Linked DNA regions of Lonchura striata. The protein of the gene in region 2 interacts with the protein of the main gene of each other region in a pairwise test. Links are inferred from orthologs where the notes say so. Each region holds a gene or a part of one and is shown on either strand. Other genes may lie near its edges.

The links.
Region 1: the proteins of EXOC1 (region 2) and EXOC2 interact in binary tests that used the Homo sapiens proteins (3 or more experiments, as listed by UniProt). The link is inferred for Lonchura striata from reciprocal best matches to the Homo sapiens genes EXOC1 and EXOC2.
Region 3: the proteins of EXOC1 (region 2) and SFR1 interact in a two-hybrid assay, tested with the Homo sapiens proteins (2 studies listed by BioGRID and IntAct). The link is inferred for Lonchura striata from reciprocal best matches to the Homo sapiens genes EXOC1 and SFR1.
Region 4: the proteins of EXOC1 (region 2) and CCSER2 interact in a two-hybrid assay, tested with the Homo sapiens proteins (2 studies listed by BioGRID and IntAct). The link is inferred for Lonchura striata from reciprocal best matches to the Homo sapiens genes EXOC1 and CCSER2.

What each region holds. Positions count from the first base shown.
Region 1 is NC_134603.1:95,192,825-95,200,458, reverse strand, and holds the start of EXOC2 (exocyst complex component 2), read left to right. Parts: upstream 1-4,614; 5' UTR 4,615-4,696; intron 4,697-7,634. UniProt on the Homo sapiens protein: Component of the exocyst complex involved in the docking of exocytic vesicles with fusion sites on the plasma membrane.
Region 2 is NC_134606.1:27,480,286-27,488,031, forward strand, and holds the start of EXOC1 (exocyst complex component 1), read left to right. Parts: upstream 1-4,736; 5' UTR 4,737-4,849; intron 4,850-4,882; exon of another isoform or gene 4,883-5,041; intron 5,042-6,670; 5' UTR 6,671-6,680; coding exon 6,681-6,804; intron 6,805-7,639; coding exon 7,640-7,746.
Region 3 is NC_134609.1:21,116,149-21,123,044, forward strand, and holds the start of SFR1 (swi5-dependent recombination DNA repair protein 1 homolog), read left to right. Parts: upstream 1-3,888; 5' UTR 3,889-4,246; intron 4,247-5,693; 5' UTR 5,694-5,713; coding exon 5,714-5,809; intron 5,810-6,885; coding exon 6,886-6,896. UniProt on the Homo sapiens protein: Component of the SWI5-SFR1 complex, a complex required for double-strand break repair via homologous recombination. Acts as a transcriptional modulator for ESR1.
Region 4 is NC_134609.1:4,658,433-4,665,872, reverse strand, and holds the start of CCSER2 (serine-rich coiled-coil domain-containing protein 2), read right to left. Parts: upstream 3,010-7,440; 5' UTR 2,924-3,009; intron 2,212-2,923; exon of another isoform or gene 2,027-2,211; intron 1-2,026. UniProt on the Homo sapiens protein: Microtubule-binding protein which might play a role in microtubule bundling.

The DNA.
Region 1 (7,634 bases), on a different chromosome or scaffold from region 2:
GTTCAGAAGACACGATATGGTCATGGAAGCAGCCCTCTTAATTTCAAACAGGCTTTAGGTTATGTACACACAGGAAAATAGAAGATGGTGAGTTATAAATCAGATAGGTTCCTTTTTTGGCAATTGTGAAGCAAACCATCTGTATGCATTACAAGATGGACAAATAATGATGACCATGGATTTGTCAAGAACAAATCCTATTAAACCAATAAGACCTCCTTTTAAAATAAGGTAATAGGTGTTACACAAAGGAGAGAAGTATTAAAAATTCATATATCTTCATTTTAGTAAGGCTGTAGACAATGTTTCTTGTGAATAAGCAAAGACAATATGGTCCAAATTGAAAGCTCCATGGTGTAAGAAAAGGCAAGACTATTTCTGAGGAAGAGTTAGCAAAATGGGGTCATTATCAAAAGGAGAGATGTATTGAAAGAGGTTTCTCAAGGTATCTGATACTCTTTATAAACATCCAAAGAATGGAGTAGAGACTAAGCTTGATACATTTGAAGAGGACATGAAAAAGAGAGCAAATAAAAGAGTGTTAGAGAACAGAATTAGAATTCAAAGGGAATTTGACAAAGTGGTTATGAGGAGATTTTTTTTAAGAAAAATACAAAAGATGGTATTCAATAGGTGCAATAGACATAGCATCATCAGTTCCCCAGATACAGGATGGGGAAAAGTAAACAGGATTATAGTTGCCTGGAAAAAATGTAGAGTGAATCACAGGCTAAGCACGAGTCATCACTGTTATGCTGTTGTAAAAAGGAAAATGGGATTGAAACAGGGAAACAGCCTGCAAAATAGGCAAAGCAATTATTTTGCTCTGCTACCCCATGGTACAGCTTAAATTTTAGTGGTTTGGGGTAGGTTTTTTTTTTAAGTTTTTCATCTGAATCATGCTTGGCTTGGGGAATTGTGCTTCCAGAATGACACTGGGTGTCTGCAGAGGAGTGCAGGGGAGTTCAAGCTTGATTACCAGTCCAGACAACATTAAATATCAGGCTATTAATGGGACAGTTTGTAATAATGAGGCAAAGAAGATACAGGGTCTTTAAATATGGAAAAGACAGCTACAGGGAGGAAGCAAAGAGTCTGTTCTCCAGGCCAGGAAAGACAGACTTTTCACTAATGGACTTAAATTCCGGTAGGGGACCTATTTAGAACATACATTAGGAAAAAAGACCTCTAGTGATAAGGGTAGAGAAACACTGGGAAAAATTGCCTGAGGAGATGGCAAAAGCACCATACTGAGAAGCCTTTAAGAACAAGATTTAAAAAGCAGTTATGTTGCAACAAAAGATCATGTCTTGGGGCATGGAAAATAACAGGAAAGGGGGATTTCTTAAGGTCATTTTCAACCTTATGCTTCTTAGGATTTTCCTGTTCCTCAGATTTCCCTGGTTATAATATTCACCTCACAAATTTAAACAAGAGTAGGAGAAGGTCTGGTTTGGATGTTCACATGTCAAAAAAATTTAGGCAACAGCTGTAAGCTTGAAGGCATTCAGAAAACAGTTCTGGAAAGGCACTTATACAGTGCAGAATCAAAGTTAATCCATACAGTTTGTTAAGAGAAGGTGAAGGAGTAAATCTGCTGCATTTCACAAACATCTTCAAAAGGAAGATATTTCTGTTAACAAGAAGCAGGCTTGCAATGGACAGATGCTGCAGCTAGATGAATTTACCTTTTCAAACAACATTTATATTTCAATCAAGTTTTTTTTACACATTAAGGTAGTGTGGTACATGTTAGCATAACCACTGAGAAATCTTCAAAAGTGCAATGATGGATTGGCCATTTCTCAAAAATAAATAAATAACAAATTTTATTCTTTGAAATAAAATGAAGATGCCTTTTTTAAAAAAACAGCTACAGAAAGACCTTGCTGTGGGAATGGCTGGAGGAAATTCTACAGCTTTCAATATTCAGGTTAGACAAGATGATCATAATAATCTCTTTGGCTTTCAAATCTGTTTACCTAACTTTGTAGAGAGATATAATGTTTACAGATCACTGTCAAATCTGCAGAAATGGATTAGAAAAAGGCATGAATGAGCAATTACTCTTGTGACCTCTATGAGGTATAACACTTACTATTTACCAGGTCATTACATTACAAATTGTCACTTCTTTCCTCAGTTTTAACTGCATAGATTAATCTCTTTAACAGCATCTGGAGTTCCATAGAGTAATATATTTATATTAGCAGCATTATATATGACAGCAAATATATACTATATATTATGGTATATACATCATAAGTTATATATATATGACAGATATATATTTTTTTTAACCACACTAATTTTCTTCCTTTTGTTCCAAAGAGATATGCGGGGTAGTGTTTCTTTTCTCCAGAGGGTCACATCTGCAGTCAGTCACTGTCAGCTTTGTTCTGGTGTCACTGAAGGGGTAGGTGATGGTCACTAAACATCAGCTGGGGAAACCACCCACAGCAGATTCAACAAAGTGCACCACACAGGAAGTTCTGCATTGACAGTATTATCCAGGGCCCTATAGATCATATGATTCCTGCATGCTGCTTGTGGAAATAGGAGGATTTGCCTGTGTGGATGCCAGTGAAGAAGGTACACAAGTCATTTATAAGGCTTCTGTTCTTGCAGGAGTTGTGCTGTTCTGACAAATTCCCAAGGACCATGATCTGCATAAAAATACTGCTGAGAAGCCTTTTAGAAATAGCAGCTTAAAATCTCTAAAGGCTGGGTGATATTTTCACAAGCAAAAGATCTGTCAGCTTGTCCTCACTTGGGGGCTTAACACTGGAGAGGTTGACACTTTTCAAGTTCATGTTCCCTCTTAATGATTCACCTATTTAGGGTCTTTTCACTTACAACAGAGGTGAATATTCGATCAAATCTGTAACCGAACTATAGTTTGGCACTGAAATTTATCACTTGAACTAAATCTAAACTCATGGTTGTTTATTACAAAACCTTCTGGGTACATAGTTCCCTTTATGGACTCCCACAAAAGTCAATGGGCTTTTTGGGCACAGGTGTCCCCTCTCAGAGGGCACTGGGCTGGGGCCCAGGTATGCAGTGTGCTGGGTGGGGCCTTCTGAATCCACCAAACCTCTCAAAGAGTGGTTTTCTTTGGCACATCTGATGACAGGCATTCAATGAGAAAATTCAAACAAGCTGTCATGGAGAAAAAATATAATTTTGAACTGGGTGGCAAACGGTTGCACTTTTTTTTAATATTTTATTTCTCTCTTTTCTTGGAGAACCAAGGAGCTCTTTTTATGTATTGGATCTCAGCAGAAAACCGCAGTAACTAGTTATAACTGCGGAAACTTATAGAAAAGACAGGTACCATCTGCTTTTGTTTTTCCCCAGAAAGATATTGCATAATGTTTTACAGAGAAGAGGAAAGAGTCAGAAATGTATTGCTTATTCATAATATGACATATTCCAGTCTGCTAATTTAACCTGAGCACCTTTAACCTATGAAAGCAAAGTTAGGAAGTGTGTGGGGTGTGGCCACACATTTTTTTTTATGGTGCTTTTTATGGTGCTTTAAGGTTTTATGCAAGGTAATTTGCCTTCCCATTAGTATCCTGCTTTGGCCTGGTTTGGCATAACTAGGAATGGAGTCTTCCTTGCTGGTGTGGGTTTTTTTTTTTTTTTTTTTTCTTTCATTGCTTTTCCTCTCCTTCCCAGTAACCTTTTTGTCTGAATGTGGCTTTTGCAACCAAATACTGAAGAATACCAACAAAGAGTGAAAAAGGAAATCTCCTGAGTCTTTCCATAAGGAAATGAACTTGTGTTCAGAATTCCCATAGGCAGCCTGTGGTTTTGGAAAGAAACATTTTTACTGGTTTATCATGAAAGGAGGACAGATTTATGTCACCTGGGGCTGACAGCACTGCTTGAGTATTTGTGCCTGGGCTTTTGCCCCCCACCCATCCTTCTGCACCTCCCCTCACAGAATCACAGAATGGTTGGGGTTGGAAGGGACCTCTGGAGACCGTCCAGTCCAAGCCCCCTGCAAGGCAGGGTCACCTGGAGCAGGTGACACGGGAACATGTCCAGGTGGGTTTGGAATGTCTCCAGGGAGGGAGACTCCACGACCTCCCTGGGCAGCCTCCCTCACACCTCAGGCTGGGAGTCCCAACACTACTGCTGGGCGAGTCTCTGCCTATAGGCGCAGTGCTTGGGGGTGGTTTTATTATAATTTATTACTTTTGTTCACAGAATCACAGAATCTGCTGAGCTGGAAGGGACCCATAAGGATCACCGAGTCCAACTCCTGGCCCTGCACAGCGCCGTCCCCAGAGTCGCCCCACGCGCCTGAGAGCATTGTCCAAACGCTTCTTGAGCTCTCTCAGGGTCCTGTCGCTGTTGTCACTGCCATAGTCAAGACTGTTATAATTAAATATGTTTTTTCTTCCCTTGCTCCTCATCCACGGGAGAACCGACCCCCATTTTCTCCGGGGGCCCTCAGGAGCCCCGCGCAGGGCCGGGACTGAGGGGGGGAGGCGGGCAGGGGGCGGGGCCTGCCGGGGGCGCGGCTCCCGCCGGGGCGCGGCTCGGGCCCGGCGGCCTCCCCCGCCCGCCTCGGTGGCTCGGCGCTCCCTCGATGCGCTCGGGCGGCGGCTGGCGGCGCCTGCGGGCGCGGGGCGCTGCCGGGAGCGGGGCGGCCGCAGGTGCCGGATGCGAGCGGCGGCGGGCGGTGAGTGACCGGCCCCGGCCCCGGCCCTGCCCCGGCCCCCGGCGGGCGCTGCGGGGCAGCTCCGGCCCCTTCCCTTTCCTTCCCCCCCCCCGCCTCCCCGGGGCGGAGGCTGCCCCCCTCCCTTCGGTCTCCCCCCGCCTTCCGCTCCCCGGGCGGGGTCGAGCGTCGCGTCCCCGCCCCGGCCCCGTGGGGACGGAGCTGTCGGCGACGGCTCTGGCGGCTCAGGGGGCGTCGCTGGGCTCCGGCCGGCTCCCCCCCGGTGCCTTCCCGGCTGCAGCAGCTCTTGCTCCTCCCCAGCCCCCTGCCGGGGCGCTGTCGGCAGGGCGGGGGGTTCCTGCCACCGGCGGCACTCGGTGTCCTGCCGGGTGACGCTCCCGGGCGAGGCCGGGCCCGGGCCGGGGAGCCCTTCCCAGCGCTGGTGGCACTGTCCCGGCCCCAGGGCCGGCAGCAGCGGCTCCGTGGCCTTTGCCTGTGTCTCGTGTGTCTGACAGCGGCCCGGGGGAGCGCCGGGCTGCACGGGCTGAGCCAGAGCTGCGCCAAGTCCCAGAGTCCATTCGGTTGGAAAAGACTTCCGACATCGTCCCGTCCGACCCGTGTGAAATGATGGGGTCGTTTGGCTCAGTGAAGTGTGGGTGTGCTGGGTGGGGGAGAGAGGAAATGAGCAGGGTAGAGAGGTGAGTCAAAGCTGGTTACTTGCAGGACTTGTTGAAAAGCTGGTTATTTTCAGGACTGATTTTATGTTTTGTTTTAGTTTTTTTCTTTTTTGGCTTCGCATTTAGTTATGCCATCAAGTTTCAGATATAGCTGCCCAAAATGAATGAGTACCTAGGCAAATGCAATACGAAAAAACAGGGTAAGGAGTGTGGGAGGAATCGAAATAACATGCTGGTTGAGAGATGGTTGCTTTCATTCTTCTGTCTGGAGAGATTACGCTTCTCTGAGACTTGGATTTTTTTTTTTTTTCAACTTCCTACACAGTGCTACATTTCTGCCTCATTTGGACTACCTTGCAGTCCAGAAGCGTCCATGAGCTGGGTGACCAAACATCTTTCCTCCTTGCCTCTTCTATTATCCTAATTAGGAACCTGAAAATGATCTCTTAGCAAGGTGCAGATGTCTGAAATTTGGGATGATCTTGTTCCCAGAGGAGAGTTTACCATTCTGCACAGTTCTACTGTTTTTTTAAATAGTCTTCCTTCTGCAATTTCTTCACTTATTGCAGGTTAACAGCTTCTAACCATAGACTCAAAAGCTCTGAGTCAAAAGCCAGTAAAATATTAAGCCATCCTAGCTCTGACAGAACATCAGATTAAACCTAAACTACAAATATTCATTGTTTAAAATGTAGTTAGAATCATAATCACGCTTCAGTTTTCCAGATTTTCTGATCATTCTTATAACAAGTAAACAGTCTTCTTTCTCCTTTAGTGATCTCTTTGCGTTTCACTGTTATAAACATTTTCTTTGTTTTTGCTTTTGATGTTTTTGTTTTGCTTATGGTGAAGTTGTCAGAACAGTTAAAGGACTGTAAATAAACAAACTTGTGGCTTAGAAAAACAGGTCTGATTTCTTCCTTTACATTTTGCTCACCTGAAGCAGGAATGCACTATAAATCTTATTTCCCTATTTTTATCGTATCTTATCCCAGCTTGCACTGACCTAGCAACAAGCAGCAAGAGGCATATCTTGTTGCTGATTTCTTTCCTATGGATAGCTTAGTGCTTGTGGTTTATGCCCACTCTTTGGACAACTGTTTTTATTTAGATGAAATGTCTGTTGTCTGCAAGGTCCTTTAAAACAGATGCGGTTATTTTCATTATACTGGTTGGACTTATCTGAGTGAAAATTATTTTAAGTTGTAATGGTAAGGGTGGTTTTCTCTATGGAAAACATATTTTAGGATGTGTCAGAGGTGAAGCAATTTAATTAAAAGATTGTTATCCATCAGACTTATGCTGGCTTTAAAAAAAAAATATAAAGTTGTCTTGTATTTTTCTGGTCTTCATTCAATAAATGAAAATGTTTTTACGGACTTGATGGTTTGTGGTTGTTTTTAATGCTCTAATTGCTTTTCATATTTTAGAGCTAAGCAGGTCTAGGTTAATGAAATTCCAAATGAATAATAAAAAAAAAAAGTAAAGTTCTAAGTCATGAACAGTAAAAGAAATCTAAAATGGTAGGATTTCTTGTGAGAGTGAGCATGGGTTTTATGCCAGCTGTTGAGAGCATTTGAGGCAAAACTGGACAGTAAAGATATGAAAATCTGTAATTTGCCAGTTGTTTTCCTGAGGTCCTATTAGAAAGAAACTGTATCCACTAATACAGTCCATTCTTTATTATGCTGCTTTTCCCAGAGAAGCTGGACTAAAGCAAAATAAGTAGGTTGACTAGAAAGGCAGAGGCCACTGACCTCATTTATTAATCAAAACTTTCAGATATGTTATGTTGAACCATACTTAATCAATTTCTTTCAATGCAGTGGTATATTTAGCTGTAAATTCAGTAAGTCTTAATCACTGTACTTGAAATTAAACTTAATCAGTTTTGAGTTATTTTAATTCTGTTTATTCTGCAATTTTCGGCTTTCCAACTGCACTTAAAAAAAAAAAAAAGCAAGAATGTAAAGATAAAAGTATTTCTCTTGAGAGGATGGTGACAGAAGAATGAATATAAAATGTGTTCTTAAAACATAGATTCTGACAACTATGGAAAATATCCATGAAATAATATATAGTTAGAGTTTTGTACACCAGGACAAAAGCTGTGGAGCACATGCAGACACTACCTGCATGTATTTTGAATGCCTGTAGGTCACTATTTATTTATACAAACAGGCAAATGAAACCTTCTGCAGGAGAAGTCAGAAGGACTTCATTTTATAGTCAGGGACTGGAAAATAGTACTCAGAGGACTGTAGATGTTACAGTGAATTTATTTT
Region 2 (7,746 bases):
TAGGCAAATGATAGAGTTTTCAAAGTTAGAATAATGAGAATTATTTTCGCCAATTTCTAGCTAAGTATAAGCATGTTCAGTGCACTACCGAAAGACACATTAGTACTTAGAGCTACATTTACTATGGGGTGGAGTCTTGATTGCTTGGAACAGCTCACAAAATGTAACAGCTGGACTTGTGTTAGCAGTATACTATGGTAGAAACAGAGGATAAGTGGCAGCTGTGTTGAACAGAAGCTGAAGAGAACAATGTTAATGATAAGAAGCATGGTGTCACCATCGCTGACACCCAGTGTCAGTCAGCTAAGTTAGCTGGCTGTTCATCCCATAGTGAATAAAAAAATGCCGACCCAAAGTAAGCTCCATTCAGAGAAGCTTCTGGTCAGAATGTCCTGCAGGAGAAAATTCTTTTTCCTTTGGTAGCCAAGAGAGACCAGGAAGGCAGGCTGTGGGCTAAAGCAGGTATGGACCTGGAGCTGAGATATCAGCTGCCAGTAGATCACAGGCTGGTTCATATCCTTGCTCATCTCTAACATGGGATATCTGTGCAAGGGTACTCTGCTGTACTTGTGGCTTGGACTTTGTCTTTCATGTGAACTCCCACCTTTGAAAACATTTGTGTAAATGTACTTTGAATTCAAAATTGAAATAATATCAAATAAGTGAGAATATATTTGAAAACCTGTAAAAATTACAGCTTTCTACTTTTTAAATGTTATCCTATTGTGTTTATATAGAAAAGCCCATACCTTTTATTAGTTAATATTCAGAAGTTAGATATTTATTCTAGGCATATATTGCAAATTACGTTGGTTCTAACACAGGTCTTAGTAATTATTACTGTACAGTAAGACAGCTGTGAGGGCAGTTTATGGGTAACAGAAATCCTCTGGCATTTGTAAGGTCTTAAATTTGCCACCGAAATACTGTTAGAAAGAAGAAATGTAATTTTAGTGTTTGTTTGCATAATACAGTTGTTCTTTGGAGAATGTCTTTGGGATAATCCAGTGTAAGTGGGCATGCTGTGACATTTGATTATTAGCTACAAGAAGTATTTGCCCAACATCCAGGTTCCACAAAACCATCTTATATAGGAAGTAGAATTCATGCTACTGCTATCTATGATACATTGTCTTGTTTGAATTGTGTGTTGATTGTTGAGGTCACAATGTTTTCCACAATATTTACAAATTCTTTCCTTAATAGGCACAAGGAAATGTTTTCTGGCTGGAAAAGCTTTCATCATTCAACTTGTAATTGTTAGAACTCTAAAAATGCGCACTTCAGAGCATTCCTTTGAAATAAAGTACATGTATACTGAATTCTTGCCCAGTAATTGTGTGTATCATTTTAGAAAATAATGATAGCTAAAAAGCTAATATAATGTTCAACCATATTCAATGGACTCCCATTGGTAGTTTATACATTTTTATTCTTGTGTGATATAAACATGTCATGAACTATATTGAAAGACACAAACCTGCATTTTCTGTGGAAGAATATGGAATTAAAATATCTGGCATCTCTTCTTTCTGATAATGTAGTATTTCAGACATTCTTAATTGAGTAGTCAGACTGAACAAAAAAAAATGGGAAAACCAGGGACATTGTCCATGTAAATTATTTCAGTTACTATAAAACGGAAGAGTTTAAAAGATCTTTGTGGACTGAATCTAGGGGCTCCTTACTTTCACACAGTTCTCTCTAAGATGCCAGTTACCAAGACTCTGTAATTGCCTGATGTGCTATGGGAAGTCTGAGGGACACTATCACTTTGTGGTGAGCATAGCGTGGCTGCACCACAGGACACAGAGAATATGCTAAATAATGAATGGAAAAGATCTAACAGGCTAAACAGCCCATCTTTCAGTTAATGCAAAATTATTTCCTACATCACATTTCCTGACCTTAGGTAAATGGAATGTAGTTGGAAAAAAGTATCTGGGGATTAATCTAGTTCTCCTGGAAGAATTCTCCAAAACTGACAAGGAACAAACTGAGGGGAGTAAAGGATTATAGGAATGAATCTGTAGCATTCCTATAAACGGTTTCAACTACATGATTAGAATGAATATGTGAGGTTGAGGATATAATGCAGATTTTCTTCAGAAGACATTCTTCAGAAGCAATTAGCCAACTCTGTTCCAGACAGAAGAAAATACATGGCAGCCTGAAAATGAAGATGAGTGATCATAAGCAGACAGAAATTCATGCTCACATAACAGGCAGAAAGGGAACAGAGGCTGTCATAGAAGACAGGTGATTTTTTAAAGGTATTTATCTTAAAAACATCGGAATTAAGACTACGGGGAAACCTATGACAATAGATTTTATTTAAATTTTATTTATTGAGAGCAGAAATACTCCTCTCCTTTGAATTTATTTTTCATGGTTAGCTAATATTTTCTTGCATCCTCAATTAAGGAAATGCAGATCAGTGTGGAATTTAAAAAAAAAAAATGGCAGTGAAAGAGAACAGGGAGCATGTTCTAGACTGTGCCTTCTAGGTTACTTCTCATACTTCTTCTCCTTTGTGTTTTGGAGTCATACCTATAATAACATACTTCTTTCCAACACAAGCCTATATTGCTTTCCCTGCCAGCTACCTATTTCCCAATGCTTTCAGTCACTTTCAGCATAGAAATCTTTTTTCTAGTAAAGTGAGTGATTGTATTCCATAATTTTTAATATGTAATTTAAGAATATATTTTCATGACTTAAAGTCAGTATTGAAAGATCAAACACCCTTTCTAAAGAGCATTTGTGGAAGAGCATCTAAAGTAGGAGGGGAGAGGATGGCACAGGGTAGATAATCTCATATCAGTTTTTATGTGTAAACCCATTTTAGCAGTAAAAAGGGCATTTTAGTGTGGTTTCCTTTTTCTTTTAGCATAATTAAAGCTAAAAGTTAGGAAACTAGCATTCTCCCTAATAACAACAGCTTTATGGAACATTGTCCAGTATTTTATGGCTGCCTTGTCCAGTCTTTATAAATCTAGACAGACATACACATTTTGTGGCTGAATTGAGAAATTATCAAACTATAACTTCTATTTTAACCATGGCCCTCGTGAATGATATATTATAGAATCATACAGCATGTTGTTTTGTAAGTGAGAAAACAAAAGTACATTCAGCAAGACTTAATTGGTCAGTCATATTTAATCACAGAATATTCTGGGAAGCGACATGCAAGGATTATCAAATCCAGCTCTTAAGTGAATTGCCCATATGGGGCTCAAACCCACGGTGTTGGTGATGTTAACACCATGCTGTAATCAACTGAGCTCATCTCAATTAATGCTCCTGATCAAGTAGAAATATGATACAGGAATTACAGAAACACAGTTCTACATGTTAGAAATCCACATACTGGAAATTTAAAACAATTCCTTGGAAAGGATGTTTTCTGTTTATTGGTGGTGGCCTTGCAAATACATTTTATCAGATACACACTAAAATTAATAAATTATATACAATTTAAGTAATCTGGAATGATTTCAGTCTATCCTTAACTCTGCACTCCATTACATTAACAATGCTAAAAATTAGGTAAGTGTATTGATCATGTGGTGAACCTCTGTCACAGTGAAGGTAGTTCCAGTTTCCACAGAATTCATCAATGACTACAAGTAGCTATAACCAATTTGGACATCAGTTCTCATGCTAAATCCTAAATCTAGTCTCAGCATAATTTTCCTATTTGGATTATCACTGACATCAAAGACTGCCAATTAGTCCAGATTCTTCTACCTAGGAGCAAAGCAAAAATCTGACTGCTGTCCACAGATTATGAATATGAACTGAACATGAGCCAGTGAGTGCCCAGGCCAATGGCACCCTGGCCTGTGTCAGCAATAGTGTGGCCAGCAGGACCAGGGCAGGGGTTATCCCCCTGTGCTCAGCACTGGTGAGGCCTCATCTCCAGTACTGTGTTCAGTTTTGGGCCCCTCACTTTCAAACAGAAATTGAGGTGCTGGAGTGAAGGGCTGCAAGGCTAATGAGTGGTCCAGAAAACATGTCCTGTGAGGAACAGCTGAGGGAGCTGGGTTTGTTCAGCCTGGAGAAGGCTCAGGAGGGACCTCCCTGCTCTCTACAGCTCCCTGAAAGGAGGCTGTAGTGGGGAGGGCTTTGGGCTCTCCTGCTGTGCCTGCAGTGAGAGGACAACAGGAGACGGCCTAAAGCTCAGACAGAGGAGATTCAGATTAGATATTAGAATTTCTTTTTCACTGTTAGTATTGTCAGACATTGGAATAAGTTGCCTGGATGGTGGAGTCACTCTCCCTGGAGGTGGTCTAAAAGTGTCTGGATCTAGTACTGGGTGATAAGGTTTAATGCCTCAGGGGTTGCAGTGATAGTGCTGGGTGGATGGTTAGACTTGATGATCTTAAGGGTCTCTCCGACCTTGCTGATTCTATGAAGTGACCTTAGTCCTGATGCTGTGGCCAAATGGAATTACAGCATGCAGTCTGAGCTGGACACTGTAATTCAAAATTGTAATGCACTGTATGTTCTTTAAGTACCAAGTTTATCTGCATTTCTTCTGTGGACCCATTTGTCCCCTAACGGACCAAAACCCCCTCAGTCCTCTGCCGTGACGTCACTGGAGAATGCTGACGTCACTTTGGGGGCGGCAGCTCTGCCCCGCGCCCGCCGCGCCCACTCCTCCCCGCCAGGGGGCGCTGCGCGGGCAGCCCGCCCCGAGCCGCGCGCCGCCGTCACGAGGGCGGAAGCTGCGGCGGGAGCGCCGCGTCCTGCCCGGCGCTTCCCGGCCTGGCCCGGCGCTTCCCGGCCTGGCCCGGCGCTTCCCGGCCTGGCACGGCGCTTCCCGGCGCTTCCCGGTGCCGCGGTGAGAGCGAGGCGGCCCCGGCACCCTCCGGCTCTTCCCCCGTCCAGGCGTGGGGCTGGCGCGGTGCTCCGCGGGCCGGCTCGGCCGTGGCCGTGCCTCCGGCTTCGGGGCGGGGCCGCTTGTGCGGGACTCGCAGGTGGGAGGCGGTGAGGCGGTGTCAGACGGGCCCTCGGGAGCCCGCCGCTGCTCTAGGTAGCTCTTCTGAGGTTTTTCTGTCCATTTGTTGATCTTGTGATTGAGTTCCGGCGATGCTGTGGTTGGGCTGCGTTCTGTTGTGGTGTGTTCTGAGCCGGTGGGATGCGGGAGCAGCGTCTTTTCCTGTTTGCGCCCTCAGAGAGGCCAGGCAGTGCTGAGCAGCTTTACCACGCTGCCATGCCCCGTCTGGCGTGTATTTCCTGGACAAGCCGCGGCTGGGATGTCATGTCTCGAACAAATTTCATGTAGCCTTTGTTTGGCTCATTACAGGAAATGTTTATTTCCAGCTTCTTAGGCTGAATTCTGTGTTCCTTTGAGGCAGCAGGATTCAAGTGTGAAAAGCTTAATTTTGTGCTTGGTCCTGGCACACTGTGAATGTTTTGGTGGCTGTGACTAAAAGAACTGAGTTTTTAATTCAGAAGTTGAACTGTTTATGAGAGCCAGTCTTGGATCTTGGATTTATCATGATGTGGGAAAGGTGTACTCTGCCTAACCTGCAGTACTTGTGATAGCACTGAAATAGGAGAGTTAGCAATTTGTAGTAGCTTGATTGTGACTTAGAGCAGAAAATAAAATCCTAAATAAGGAAGGAAAGAGGCATCTGAATTTGAAATATAGCAGATTATTGGTATTTTGTGTGTTCATCTTATGCATCTGTTGAAGAGTAACACGAATGGTGACCTGGTACAATTGGGGAAACAAAAGGTGGGCCCAGCATTTGATGAAGAGAAGGAAAATTATTAGCAGCTATGGAGTGGTACATTGCCATAGGGTGTCATTTAAACAGCATGCCCTGAGCGCTGTTGACAATACTGTTTTCACTTTGGCATCGTGGCCTTGTTTTCACAAAGTTCTTAACTTTCTAATCTTCAAAATTGCTGTAGTGCCCAAGATTTTGTCTTTTCTATGGGTTTATCAGAGGAAACAACTCGGGCATCTTCAAGAGAACAACCCAACCTGAAATTCAACTCTATATATTGTCTCAGCATCCAGCAGTGTAGTATGTTGTGTGTACTAATCATGCTTTTTTAAAATGAACTGTAGAATTTTAAGGCACAGATAATATTGAATCTTCTGTATTTGAATAAAAACGCTTGAATGTGATGTGTAATGTGTTTCTCTGTTCAGTCTAGATAAAATCTCTAGTGTGAGGCACTGTTCTTAATCAAGTAAATATTGCTAATTCCTTAATTTTCTGGAGCTTGGAGAGGGGTTTTTGGTTTTGTTTTGTTTGTTGTTTTTTGGGCTTATGTGATTGAATTCTACAAGCTTGAGTATTGGATGGTCTTTTTTTCCTTGGTTCCAGTTTCAACTTTATTGAATGCCTAGTATTTCCCTCTACTACAAAGAAGCTTTTTGTACTCCATTAATTTAAGCTCAAGAATTATCCAGGTATTAATAAATTACAGTTTTCTAATTGAAACAAGTAAGGTTTTTGTTTTTTTTTTTTTCCTAAAGTGGTCTGGTCTTCTACCCAAGTCATGCCTGTCTAGATTACAAGTCATTAAGTTATCTATAAAATTGGATTTTAAAATCCTGTGGTTACTGTAAGTACATGACAGGTTCTTTTCTCGTGCGTCTGGTAAATATGCTTGAGTTTATTTTTTACCTCCTAAAATCTTTCAGCTGAGAGAAAATGACTGCAATCAAGCATGCTTTGCAGAGGGATATTTTCACTCCCAATGATGAACGTTTATTGAGCATTGTGAATGTGTGCAAAGCAGGCAAAAAGAAGAGGAACTGCTTTTTGTGTGCCACAGGTATATATGAATACCACACTATATTTCTTATCTTCACCTTTGTTTTTTCTTGGTTGCATTTGTTTTAGCTTTATGTACAATTCTTATTCTTGACTTGTATAAAACAGGTGCTTTCCATTCCTAATGGAGAAAATTATTTATAACTTGTACTTTCATTATTGCTTCTACTAAAAAAAGAAGCAAACCCCACTACTTTTATTCACTGATCTCATTGTAATTTGAAAGGAAAGAATGAAATAGTATTCTCTAGGGACTGGTGGGCTTTTGAAACAAGCTTTATGTAGTGCTTAAAACAGGGTTTAGTAATAATCTAAGCTGATAAGCCTAAATAAAATGCTTTAAAGAATACTGGTTAGAGACCAAGGAAAGGCACAGCAACTGCATTGAGTTCTAATGTTCCTTGAAGTGTATGTTTATTACATTTTATCTCTTTAAAAAACTAGGTGCTTTGTGTTGATCTGTCAATAAATTAGCTTGCTAGAATATTTTTTGACTGAAAAATGTCTGAAAATGTTTTCATTCTGACTGTACTCTCCAGTTATGTCTGTGCTATGTCAGTTATGTGGTCATGGTCCAAGATCTGCTGCATCAAAGAAATAGCTGAAAATTGGGGTCATTACCTCACAAGCTGTATAGAGAAGTATACCTGTTTGGTTGAGACTTAAACTGAGTTGCGGTTATTGTGGATGAAAAGGTTTCAAAATGTTTCTTTTCATCAGATAAATGCTAACAAATCTCCCCCACAGATAATTTGTTTGGGAAGTTGAAGTACAGCAGACACAGATGTGAAAGTAGTATGTGTGTTTTGAAATGACTCTCTTACTTCATTTAATAGTGACAACAGAACGACCAGTGCAAGTGAACGTGGTAAAAGTGAAAAAATCTGACAAGGGAGATTTTTACAAAAGGCAGACTGCATGGGCACTTCGAGACCTTGCTGTT
Region 3 (6,896 bases), on a different chromosome or scaffold from region 2:
CTCACCTGGCTCTTACATTATCTTTTGTAATGGCAAATTGCAGTGCCCCTCAGCTACAATAAATCCCGGAAGGTTTTATTTTCAAGACAGCTACCTCAAAAATTGCAAGCCAGAGATATAAAGCAGACAAAGGCAAAAAAAAAAAAAATTACTTTTGGTGTAGTTTATCCTGATGTCATTCTAGAGACTTCACTTTTAGTTACTGGGCACTTGCACCATTATCAGAGCAGAATCCATCTCCCAAGGACAGGTTTTGTTGTAGTAAACTGGTTTTACTCCAGCTGGTTTATAAAGTCCTACCCTTGGTGTATTTACACGGCCATTAGCAAGTCAGAACACCTTTCAGAGAAGTGAATTGCAGACAGCCAAATCACAGCCCTAGGCTGATGCAGAAGTGGGTAGGGTTTTTAAACTTTCTGCAGCAGTTAGTGTTTAGGCACATAAAAGCACCCCACCCTCGTGCCCCAGGCAAGAGAGAATACTCAGACATTGCAGAGTGTACTTCATGCATCAGGATACATCGCTTGGCTTTAAACGAGGTCAACAGATTTCAGAAAAATGAGAGAAGGGGGTAATACATATATGCCTTAAAACAGTATGCTGACTAACATCCCAGATACTCAGTGGCAATGTTTAGGGGGAAAAGGCCTGGTTGTTGTGCCCAGCAAACTGTTAAATGGAAGTTTTATGATGCTCCTGACACTCTGGAAGACAAGAACCCATAAAGCTTAAACTGGAGTTTCTAAACTCAGAGCCAGTATCCTTTTTTATTACTTTCCATTATGACTTTGCTACTACAGATGATGCCCACAGAGGAATTAAAACATGTAATTGTCCTGAGAACACTGCTGTGTCAGCCCCAGTGCTCCAGTGCTGTTCTGGTACCACAAGATTATTGAGAGGGTACATGGATAATATCTTTCACTGTGTAGCCAAACTGGTGTACACTTAGAAGAAAAAATAATCTGATAACTAAAATGTCAATGCAGAAATGCCAAAGAAAATAGAATCAAGGAACACATTTTGGTTCCTCGGGGAAACTAATATCTTTGAAGGGAAGTGGTATGTTCAGCAAATAGAGATCAATAATTTTATTACCCAGTGCACAGTTTCTTACACATTTTTTTCAATTATTTTGCTTACCCCAAACTCTTCTGATCACAAGAGGAAGCAAAGAAATCAAACAACAGCATTGCAGTGCTTAATAAACACTATTGCAATGAATGTGCTACTGTGTGCACATACTGGTAATCTTAACTTAACAGCAAGAGAAACACTCTGCAGTGTGCCATAAACATGCCAGGATCAATGACACATGGATAATCTGTTTTCCTCAAGGAAAACAGATGAGCAGTTTTTGAGAGGAAGTTTTCAGTCTGACTCTGGTTTGCCAGTTGTAGAAAACATAATATCCATCACTATTGTGTTTCTGCAATAAACATATTGGATAGTCACTGCATAGTGCTTGATGGCACTCTAGTTCCCAGCTCTGCAGGAGCTCCAGCCAAGTGCTGGGCGAGTCATGTTTTTGCAGTACTGTGTAAACACCAGGTAAATTCATAGGAAAATGGAGTAAACACAGCTAAACAACACTAACCTGAACAAGATCTTTTTCTAGAGTCATTGCCCATCAATGAGTACATGACAATATTTCCTTTCCTCTACTCTAGATGCAGCACACTAAACTCACACACCCAACACATGGCACCATTGTTCCAAATTCCCAGTCCCAAACAATCTGTAATCTCACTTGGGGTGGGGCATACTGGCGTTGCTCTAATTAAGTACAATGATAATGCACAGGATGACTTTTTCATGTGTTATGTTCATGTAAAATCTTACTGGAATCTCACCTGGCAAATGATCTAAAATCTCAAGCTTTCTGTTGTTCTTGTGCAACTCATCTGTTAGCATGTCTGTACAACAGAGCATGAGTAATTTAAAGTAGGGACCATCCTTGAGATTGAAGGAAATACCCTGTGGTCTTGGAGACATGCCATCACAAAGCTCCAGAGCATCCAACCCTCTTGATAAATTTGTAGCACTTTTGCTGTTGCACTCAGGAGTCCATTTTTAACATATTTAAAAATTAAAATATCTGCAACATTAAATTAGCTGAAGATTTAAAAAAAAAACAAACCTCAAAACCCAAAAAAGGGGCAGATTTAAAAAATGCTTTCAAACTGCCTCAACACTTGGGGTATTGTTCAGCAGGGTTTTTTTGGTAGATGGTTACAAAACATAGTACAACACCACATAATGTAAATTCCCACATTTGCTATGAAAATATTATTTCTGAATCAATTTCACCCACAGATAAAATCTTATACAAGGTGTATAAGTTATATAAGTTGTATAACTTATACAAGTTGTCAGATTTCCAAAAACAACTTGTAGATGGGCTTTGAATGCTTTGATACCTTTTACTGTAGGAGAGTAAAAGGTTGCTATCATTCCTGTCAAATACTCTTTGAAGTGTGTGGATCTATGAAAATTCATGGTCAAAACTGCAGCAACTGCTAACACGTTATCACACCTACAACACTCAGTGCTTACGCATCTCTTACCTCCAAATTGTCTCTGGTCTCAATAGAGATGGGAGTTACACAAGGTGAAGAGAAAATAGTGTCCTTATCTGTAGCAGGAACCAGGCAGGAAATTAATGCAGTTCTGACACAGAAGCTAAGGGCATGATCCAGCGAGAGCATGTGGGTGCCTGTACCCCACGTGCTGCTCTCAGCACAGCTGCGTGAGGCATCAATGCACAGCTCGGGGCAGTTCAGCTCTGGGCAGTGCTGGAGGAACCACTGGGACATCATCCCTAAGGGCTGGGAGCTGTTGTTGTTATGGCTTCCTCAGCTCATTCTGTCAGTTCTGACAGTTACAGCTGAAAAACGTTTTGTACAAATCAGTTTTGAGAGAAGTAAATCCACATGGGGAAGCCAGGTGTACAGCTGACAGCAACAGGAAAACCACTCTTCAGCAGTGCCTTTGAGTGTAAGGGAACTCTCCAATCCTGAACTGCACCGTGCAGCCACAGCTGGGATTGCTCCTTGTACAGTCACAATCTCCCTATTTCTCCAGTCAAATGTCTTAATTTTCTCTTCTTTCCCACAACCATGACAGTGCTGCTCAGGTCACACGTCTCCCAGTGAGTCCTTCAGTTACACTTTTTCCCCTTATGTGAGGAGATGGTTTCTGGGATAAAGGCTTTTGCAGCTCGAGGTGGAGAGTTGTGGCTCCCTTGGCTGTGCTGTGCTATCCGTAGTGGGGAGCACTGCACACTGAGGCAGACCGACCGCCCTCCCTGGCACAGGACACTTGCAGGGACATTTCTTATCGTTTCTTATCCCTGGCAGCTAGGCCAGGGAAGGTTTAGGTTGGTCACTACGAAAAATTTCCGCATAGGAATTGTGATTAGAATTGGATCAGACTGCACACGTAGATCCTGAAGTCACCACCCCTGGAAATGCATAAGACTGAACACAGCACTTGATGCCAGGGTCTAGCTGACATAGTGGCGCCGGGTCATAGGCTGGATTCGACGATCTTAAAGAACTTTCCAGCCTGATTCTGTGAGGTGACACCAGGCCTTGATCCAGACCCCAGCCATGGCGTGGCCGGCCCACGCTGGCCTAAGGGACACAGCACCGCCTGGCATGCCTAGATGCAACAGGAAAGTCTACGAGGTCCTCGGAGACGCCTCGCGTTTCCCGGGAGCGGGAGCGGGACCTCCCTCAGGCTCCGCGCCCGCCCCTCAGCCCCAAGCGCCGCCCGGGCACGCGGGGCGCGCAGGCGCGGCCGCCCCTGCCCGGCGCGGGAGCTGAGGGGGCAGAGCGGGCACAGCGGGCAGAAGCGCCGCTCCGCCCCGTCCTTCCTCCTCCGCCCCGTCCTTCCTCCTCCGCCCGGTCCTGAGGGCTCTGTGCTCCCCGAGGGGCCTCCCTGCGCTCCTCAGCCCCGAGGGCCGCTGCTGTGGCGGCGATTTTGGGGTGCCGCGCCTCAGAACCAGCTCCACGGGTCTGTGGCCCTGCTTATGGGCTGCACGGTCTTCGTCCTGCTTCTCTGCGGGGGGAAAAGTAGCAAGGCAAAAGTTTGAGTGTTAATAGTATTGTGTTAATAGAGTGTTTAAAAGTATTGAGCCTTTTGTTATTGAGACAGTAAAAAGAGTACGTGCCTTTATATAACGTAGCTATAAGCAGGAAAACAAAGGACGTAGTTACAGACGTACCCAAAGTGCAAAAGTCAAGTAAGTACTGAAAAGTAAAATTGTTTTTTCCCCTTCTAATTCAAATTTTCTTTGCTTGCTGGACACAGTTTTTTGTGCGGTGAACAGCATTACTGGTTGAGAATGCCAAGGATTCTTAGCCGAAGATACAGGAAAAGGATTTTAAGCGTGCAGGAGATCTGTGAATATGCTGCCAAGTAACAGCATTAGCAAACGACTGGAGAAAGTATTTGTTATGGTCATTTAAAAGCGAATTTGCATTAGAAAGTAAAGGCAGAGAATCATAGGATTGCTTGGGGTTTTTAAAGTTATCTCTTAGGCTTAAAATTATTTTGCTCCTTGGAAAATTCTTACTATCTTTCATATATATATACTATATATAGTATCTTTGATATATATATATATACTATATATACTATCTTTGATATATATATACTATATCTTTGATATACAGTATACATAAGAATGTTGCTTTTTCTAGGCTCTTCCTTACAAAAAGAAATAATAGTATTAAACTTCCATTATATTTAATGGATGCTGTGGTTTCCTGTTTAATTGATAGATTGCTAAAATACCAAATTAACTAGACTCCTTACTAAGGTCTGGGTTTTTATAATAGAGTACCATATGTTCAGTTTTGAACATCTGGGGGGAATGTTGACTTCTAAGATAAATGAGGCCCTCCATCCTTTGGTATCAAGCCCAGGGTTGCTGGGCTATTAAGGCTTTGGCATTCTGAAGCTTTAGCAGTTTTCATCTGTGAGGAGGAAGCCCCTTGTGCCAGCCCTGTGTTGCCTAGTTGTAATTCGCAGGATTTTATTCTTGAGAGGCTTCTGTTTCAAAACTGGTAATTGCAATTTGCAGGTGAGTGGAGGTATAACTGTTGATTTTCCAGCTGCATTCTGGTCATTAGTAGGTGGTTCACAATTGCTAAATGAAATTAAACATTGCCAAATCGATTTGAAGTTGGTTCGTGCTGGGAGGTGTGACTTAACCATTTTAATTAAGGCACCTTTCTGAGTGAGCTTGGGATTTTTCCTGTTAATCAAAACTTCCACCTGTGTGAGTAATTACTTTTTAAAGCAGGATCCCCAGAAGGATCACATGAGACTGGATACCCAATTATATTGTTCTATAGAAAAGATTGTTTATATTTGTGGACAACAAAAATCCTTCTGGCTCCACAGAGCTTTTGGAGCAAGGGGAAGAATAATATATACAATGGATTGTGAATGACTTCATGGCAGTTAGTTGTGTCATGGATCCTCTCAAAGAAAAGCTGTTCACAAAGCAAGATGCTACTTAGCACATGAAACAGTTGTGTAACTTAGCAGATGTCCTTTTTGAACATGCCAATTAGAAAAGAAGCCTTAAAATTTCATATTAGAGCTTTTTACTAATTTCTGCAGCCACATGGCTCATTATAACAGGTGACAATGACACCATAATTCATTCTGTCATTTAACAGAGACAGCTATTTATCTCGAGATGGAAGAGTCAGTGCTGGATAAATTGCCATCTTTGTGCAATACTCCAAAGGATTCTGGGCCAGCACCTGCACAGGGCACTAGTTCAGGGAAACAGGTATGAAAACTTCCTACTTTTCCAATAATGTGATTGTTCATAGTAACAAAATGCTGGTGAAATCATCGAGGAGTCAGAAGTCACTGAGATGCTGCTTGCTGGAAGGCTAGAGACAGGCACCTTATACCTCTAGCTACAAGGCTGTGCAGGTAATAATGTGCCTGGTGTACTTTGCTCTGAAAATGCAGATGCTTGCTGTGTGTACAAAGTGATGGAGCAAGTGATGGCCTGTTAAGAAATTTAAATACTATATAGGGTGTGTGATGGATCTGTCATCGGTTTTCTCAAATCCTGGTTTTCTGGGTTGCTGTGCATGCAGGATGACTTTCTGTGACTTCTGCCTGCAGTGGAACAAAGTACAATGCTTTCAGTTTGTGTATTATCCATAGTGCTGAGCTCTGCTTTGGTCTTATCCTGGGATGCGAAATGGTGATACTGCAGGCTTGGTTTGAGAGTATTCTGTAACTAATTCCCCCCTCTTGTATTTTAGTGCATTTCTATAAATAAAAATGTTAGACACAGATTATAAAAAAAATAGTTATTTTGAAGAAAAAAAAATGTTTTTAGATGCTTGTAAAGTATCTCAAAGCATGAACAGGTCAAAATTATACAGGTATTTCTAATATGTTCTAGAATACAGATGTTTTGTACTAGTTCTAATGCAGATGAATGGGATGGAACAGCAGGAAAGTAACCCTTACCTCCATTAAACTAGAGGGGAAATTGGTAGAATAAAATTATCCAAGTTGAAATATGCTGTATTTCTTTTACACAAACACTAGATGAGTAAGTTTGCCTCAACAGAATACAAGATTTTGTCCAAGAAAATGTGGAGCTACACCTTTCCGTATCTTGCAGCTGTGTGTGCAAATACAAGTGAAAGGAAGATGTTAAATTTGTTCAAGTTTTTGAAGGCTATACAGACAATTAGGAAGTCTGGCTTTACAATGATCGTTAAATATATTACATATTCTATGTAAATAATAATGATTGGTAAACGGTGATTTGAGATTTGATAAAAATTTAAGAATATTCTGACCACCTGGCTTTTCTGGGTTTATTTATTATTTTTTCAGCAAATGAGTGC
Region 4 (7,440 bases), on a different chromosome or scaffold from region 2:
CTTTAAAACAACTTACAAAAAGAGTGTGAATCAAATTATCATCCAAATCCATAGTGTAGTGATAAACTCTGCATCCATCTAGAAGAGATTTCTGAATCTCCAGCTTAAAGCAGACATATAATTGAATCAAGAGAAGCTGGGACATGCAGTTCTCCCTGGATGCTTCCTTGTGCTGTGTGTGTCACAAGCCATCTGGGCTGATTAGCCTAAAAGCACAGAATTTCTTAGGCTTCAGGGAATAATTGCAGATATTATTTACAATTTAAGGGTTATTCCTGATCTGTAAGTTGTTTAGCCACCTCATCAAAGTAAATCCTTATCAACCATTTCCTCTGGCTAAGAAGCCAAGCCTCCTTGCAGTGAGGACATTGCCAGCAGTGCCAGTACCTCTTCAATAAAGGCCATTAAAATGCACTCTGCAGAGCAGGACCTCAGCTTAGCACAGACTAAGTGCTCCTGAAAAACCCAACAATCTGCAGTGAAACAGGCATTTTAGCAAGAACTTGCGACACCAGTTCCCCATGTGACCAGGGATAAGCAAAACCCCCACCCTGAGGAGACTTTCTTCAATTCCTATAGGATGTCAGCAGAACTGCTGCAGCTGAATCCTCCCTTTAGGAGAGAGAATGACTACTGAGCAAAGTCCAGAACTCTGCAAATCCAGCTACTTTTCATCAAGGAGGAAACAACATTTCAGAATATCTTGAAAATGCACCTACTTGCTAACAGTTTAAGGTGAGCTGGGGTGTGTGTCCAAGAGCTGTGAAGAAATGCAAAGACCTTTCCTGACTAGCCAAACTTCAAATTTAAGATAACTATTTAAAGCTGTTGGGATTTTACTGTAACGTACATGTGTGTAGGTATCCAGAGATTTACATAATCTGTTTTTATTGCTCTAACTGAAACACAATACAGGATTTTCAACCTAATTACCAAAAGCACCATTAGTATTTTGATCTCCTTAGCATCCCTGTTGGCACGGGACTTAACCCTGCCTGAAAGCTTCTAATTAGGAAGATGGTGCTGCTGTTTACAGTGAATAGTGGCTGAAAGAGAACACCACAACCACTGTTGATATATTTTATCATATTACATTCTGCAATCTTATATTCCTTCATCTCCTCTCCATTTTGAGAGATCCACACTTTCTAAGGATTCCAGGCAAGCAATGTTCATGACAAGACTGATGGCATGACAGCCTTTTATCTAAAGATCCCATTGCCAACATTTCCCATTAACTGGTTTATTCCAAATAACCAATCCCTCTTAAAGGATGATCAGGTCCAAAAGTAACGGATTTTACTCCAATAAGCTTTTACATGAACAGTTCCATTAAACAGGATTACTCATTACTATAACAATACATTAAATGAGATCATTATATTAACTGAGACTATTTCTACCCTTTTCAACAGCTTTACAGTTAAAAGACAATACTGAGCAGTTTCTGGAGTCCAAACATTGACATTTTTATAATGAAAAATACTATATAGGAGCAGAAAGTAAACTTCAACTTCAGAAACAACTTTTAGACTCTTAAGTTGGATATTGACGTAGATCCTTGGCTGACATTTAGGTTACTCGTGTCCCATTTGTTAGGCCATCACCTCTTCAGCTGGGAGGCATATAATTCAAAATGGGCCCATAGAATTTAGAGGCACATGATCATTATATACACGAGAAAAAAAACCTTGCCAATTTCATTCATTATCAACAAACAATGTAAATGTTTACTGCCTCAGGCTAACCCAAGAAGATAGAAGTTTACTAAAGTCTCGGTACATATATGAAGTGGCTCTCAATGTAACAAAATGAGAACTTAAGATTCAACTTCATTTCACTTTTAACACCTTCGCAGCAAAAAATTCTATTCTGCACCAAAGCAAGGCTCAAAGCCCACAGACACCAAGAACAAACCTGCTATAGATATGAAGTTCTAACCCTGCAAGATGCACCAGCTTCCCTGAAAAGCGCTCTACATCTTTACACAGCATACCAGACGGAGTACCAGATCGACAATCCTTACCTTAATTTGATGTCTGGCCTGGACACTACGGCTCTGCTAGAGCATAAACTTCCCATGCAGTTTTGCTTTCTTAAACTGAAGATAAACAGCTCGACCTCCTCCAGCTCAAAGTTAAAGGCTGAGGTTGCCTACGTTTCATTGTGTGCCAAAGTACATTTGACAGAGCACGAAGTGAACAGCAGGCTCTGGGTGACGAAAGCAAAGTCTCAGTATCATTAAAGAGAAATCACCACAACCTACAGAACATCCCCTTGGTATAAATCTCAACAGATCACTGCTCAAGTAGAAATGCCACCATTATAATTATTTTCCACCGTTACTGTTTTTTTTTTTTAATTGTTGTCTACGAACACACACTGGGTGCTTTTGCTTCTTCCCCATTTCGTAGACTAAAACCCTCGAGACACGAAACCTCACGCTACAACACCTCGGCGGCCGGGGCTCGCAGCAGCTGCCCCCAGCACCTGCGAGCGCGTCTCCCCGAGCACGAATTACAGGGCGCACAAACCACCGCAGCGCCGGCGCCGGGCCCGCCGTGCCGGCTGCCCCGAGCCGCAGCGCGGCGGCGGCGCGCCCGCGGCATCCGGCCGGCGCGGAGGGGAGCGCGGAGGGGAGCGCGGAGGGGAGCGCGGAGGGGAGCGCGGAGGGGAGCGCGGAGGGGAGCGCCGAGGGGAGCGCGGAGGGGAGCGCGGAGGGGAGCGCGGAGGGGAGCGCCGAGGGGAGCGCCGAGCCCGCCCCGCCCCGGCCTCCCGCGGCCCCGCTGCCGCAGCATCCCCGGCCGAGCCGCGACCCCCGCCCCGGCGCAGGGCGGCGGCGCTGCCGGGAGGACGGCGGCCGCTCCCCGCCGGCACAGAGCCCCGATGAGGGGGGCAGGGGTGGCGGCCGCCCCGCACTCACCGGCGGACGGCGCGGGCCGCTGTCGCCTGCCGGGGCAGGGCCGCTCCGCGCCCTCGGCTCCCGCCGGCCCGGCCCGCGCAGGGAGGGGCGGGGGGCGGGAACACGCAGCCGCCCGCGCCCCTCGGCCCGCCTGACGTCAGCGCGCCCGCCCGCCCGGCCCATGGCGGCGGCGGCGCCGGGGCGCATCGCCTCATCTCCCTCATCGCCCCCCTCGCCCCGGCTCCCTCATGGTCCCCATCGCCTCATCTCCCTCATCGCCCCGGCTCCCTCATGGTCCCCCTCGCCTCATCTCCCTCATCGCCCCGGCTCCCTCATGGTCCCCCTCGCCTCATCTCCCTCATAGCCCCCCCTCGCCTCATCTCCCTCATCGCCCCCCTCGCCTCATCTCCCTCATAGCCCCCCCTCGCCTCATCTCCCTCATCGCCCCCCTCGCCCCGGCTCCCTCATGGTCCCCCTCGCCTCATCTCCCTCATCGCCCCCCTCGCCTCATCTCCCTCATAGCCCCCCCTCGCCTCATCTCCCTCATAGCCCCCTTCGCCCCGGCTCCCTCATCGCCCCCCTCGCCTCATCGCCCCCTCCGCCGTGCCCCACACCGCCGAGCCCCACACCGCCACACCACAGCCGTGTGACGCTGCCACCGGGCGGGCAAAGCCTCTGTCAGCCTGCCCCAGCAATCGCCGAGCTGGCTGGCAGAACCAAGGGCAAATGGGAGTTGTTGAAGGCATTGCAGGAATGGGCCTGCGAGTGTCCCGGCCCTGCGGCATGGGAGGGTACGATCATAGCATCGTCTGGGGTGGAAGGGACCTGTAAGATCACCCAGTGCGGCCACTGTAAGCCCTGAACCATCACCCAACACCAGATCCCGATGACAGACACCTCCAGAGACTGTCCCTGTGCCACCTCTCTGCACAACCTACTCCAGTGCCCAACCACCCAAACAGTGAAAAAACTGTCTTCTAGCATCTGTTCTGTTCCTGTTCAAGGCCATTTCCTCCTGTCCTCTCTGCAGGCACTGCAGAAGAGACCGGCCCCACCTCAGTAAACCTGCTTTCACAGAGCTGCAGGCAGTGATGATGGCCCCCACCCCAGCTCCCTCGCTGTTCCTCACAAGATATATTTTCTAAACCTTTCACAAGCTTTGTTGCTCTTCTCTGGACATACTCCAGTCCTTCAATGTCCTTTGTAAAGTGGGGGCCCAGAACTGAAGACAGCACTCGAGGTGCAGCCTCAGCAATGCCCAGCACAGGGATTGGGATGATCCCTGCCTTGGTCCTGCTGCCCACACTACAGCAGAGGCACTCAAAGGAGAAAGGTGGTGACCCAGCTGTACAAAAATCCTGAAGGACTCTTGCAGTCACCCATGGGAGACCAGGCATTCTCCATGCCGGTGCTCACAGAATTAATTAAGTTTAATTTCCTCAAATTTTCTGCCTGTGCTAGGAATTAGAAGGCACTGACAGAAGGCTCAGGAAGTTCCTTGCCAGTGAAGTAGATCACTGCACCATTATTTACACCTCAATGTCTTTCCGCATCTCTCCTGGTTTGGGGCCTTTGTGTTTACACTACCACAGCATTTCACCATCTCATTTGCTGTGCTTCAACACTGGGTGTTCAAAGTTTCTTTTCTGTCAAAACTTTCAATAGCCAATTTTTCTAAGCTTTTGCCTGCCTGATTTGCCAGGCCTCCCAGAGGGAGGAAGCTGTGCAGTCACCTCAGGTGTATATTTGTGTAGAAATAAAACCAACACCCTGTAATTGATAAGCCTTCTTCACCTCTTAACTAGAAACTGGGTGTGCCCAGATGTCAGCCCAGGCACTGCAAGTGCCTCCTCATCTTTCTAGACACAGGGCATGAAGACTTTGGTACATTCGCCCCATGGGCAGCAGAAAGGCCTTTTTAGAAAAAGAAGGAATGAGAACTGAAGCTTTTATGTGGTTTTTTTTTTTTTTTCTGCTTAAACTTAAATGTACCAGCCACATTAATGCATTTATTCTTAGAACAATCTGAAGTAAAATGACTCTCCTGTGGTACAGGAAGGGGGGGCAAGCAGAGAGATTAAATCTCTTGCTCAAAGCTGAAGAGAGCAAAGTCAGGAAATGAACTCAGATTTCCTCAGTCAGGCCTCAGTGCTTTAACCACACAATCATCCTTTCTTGCCAGTCATTCTCAGCTTCTGAACATCAACTGCATTAGCATAGATTTGATTTTTCCCTACTTTGTTCATCAAAACAACATAACAACTTTCCCATTCCTCATAAAAATTTCTTCCTAATAACTTACTTCTCTGTTTCCTAACTAAAGAAATTATATTAGAGACTCGCTGGAAGATTTGTATTTCCCACTGCCTTTCTGCAGGCACTGATGAGTGTTTCTTCAACATCAGTACTTGAAGTCCTCTCCCATGAAGCGATTGTGGAACTCCTCTGGTACATCTCTGAGGCACAATGGGTGAGATCAAGGAATAAAAATCAGAGAACCAGGAGCACTTGGAACCAGCACAAAGGAGGCACATATGCTGTGTGTGCTGACCTGGAAGTGGTGGTATAACCACATTTTTTAACTCCAGCTCATGCTTTTATAATCCAGAAATAATTATGAAACAGAGCTCTGAAACAAAACCACACATGTAAAAGAAGAAAGCAACTTAGAGATATTTTAGGATGGATTTGAGAACTTCCACTGTCTGTTTAGGCATTTAACAGATTTCCGTGTGCTTATATAGGCTAAAGATTAAGATCCAGTCTTGAAGCAGAATTGAGAGTTTCTGAAAAAGGAAGCGTTACATACAAAACTCCAGATTCTGACTGTTTGCCTCAAGAAATGGTGTTAACCCTCCTACAGTCAGACTGCAGACTGAGGGCCAGCTATGATCAACTGCAGTATCTTTTCCTAACAGTTTATTATCAGATGTTTTCAGCTTGAGGTCTTCACCTTGAATTGATTCTCTATTAAATTGATTTAAATGGACATTATATTACGCTGGGAGTTGGACTAAAAGCTTGTTATTATCCTCTTTACTCACTGCCCTGGCAGTATGCTGCCTCCAAAACAAGAGACACAGTATGGGGTGACACCAGCCACCCCGAGAAGAGCTGGATGTGCCATCAGTGATATTTACACAAATATTTTCCCAGCCCCAAGAGTTCACATGCCAGGGAAAAGAAGAGAAGGATTTCTCAAATTTGACCATGTAGCAGAGCCCTACACTCTAGAAAATATGAATTAGTTATTTGTAATTCTCTTCATTACAATGAAGCTGAGTGAATCTGCTTGAGTTAAAATTATCTTCAAAGCAAGGACAGTCTGCTTCCTGCATCACTTCATAAAAATTATCTTTGCCATGATGTCCATACAAAAATCCTTGCTCTGTAGCTCATATGCTGTGACTGCTGCAAATTCATCTGTTCATAAAAATTTCACTTTTACTTTGTGCATCCACTTTCTGTTACTGCATTCAAACATATTCTGCTTGTACTCAGATTTTATGCTGTCTGACAGATGAGCTATATTTTCTTGGTTTGCATTCTTTCAAGTTCAAAAGGGATAAGCACCCAGATGCAACTGTTTTTTCCCCCACATATAAGTAATAATGTATTCATTGTGGGCATTTTACTTTACCAAATACTGCAGCATGGATTATCACTAATTCACCAATATTCAAGAAAAGGAAAACAGATGTTAAAATTAGAAACTATATGCTTCTTGGGGTCTAGGTGGATATTTCATTAAATATATGACAGTGCGTGCAGTTGGATGGTTAGGGGTTGAAATTCTTAATTTCAAAATGTCTCATGATTCTGTAAAATGCATTCATCAACAGGCATCAAAAATAAACTTTCAGCCATCTTCACAATCTGTGTATCTACAAATTTTATTTTTTTTTTAATTAAGGAATATATCCCTTTTATTTTTCCGTGTTTTCTTTTGACACAAAGGAGTCACTGTCTCCAAAATTACCTATTCACTTTTCAACTTCTTATACTTTTTAAACTATACACGTAATTTCATTTTTGTACCTCCTTAAAAATATGTACTAAAATGGATATTTCAAGTCTATTAACTTGTTTACTGAGATAAGAAGGAAAGCATTGGGCTAATGTCACACAGAGATGAGTGTGGTCATATGTGTGTATATGTATTATTTCCATTTATAGCGTCCACAAGCAATGAAACTTTGTACCATTCTGCAACAAATAATTGTATAAGAATAAAATAATTCAGTTTGGTGCAAGCTGAGGTCTTTATAGTGGTTCCCCATCAATGAATCTTCTTCCCTTTTTACTTAAGGGAAAACTAAGAGGTGAGCTCAAACTCATTCTGCTGAAATACACTTTTACCTTCTCACATTTAAGACTAAGTCCTTCTTTTTTTTTAGCTTTGAAGAAGAATCCAAGTGAAGTAATTGAAGATTTGATATCTTTTCAGACCTTAGTGCTATCTACCACTTTCTAAATGATATTTAGTTAATAGGGTAATATTTAAATGAATACCTGTTCATTGCAGTTTCAGCTGCTTT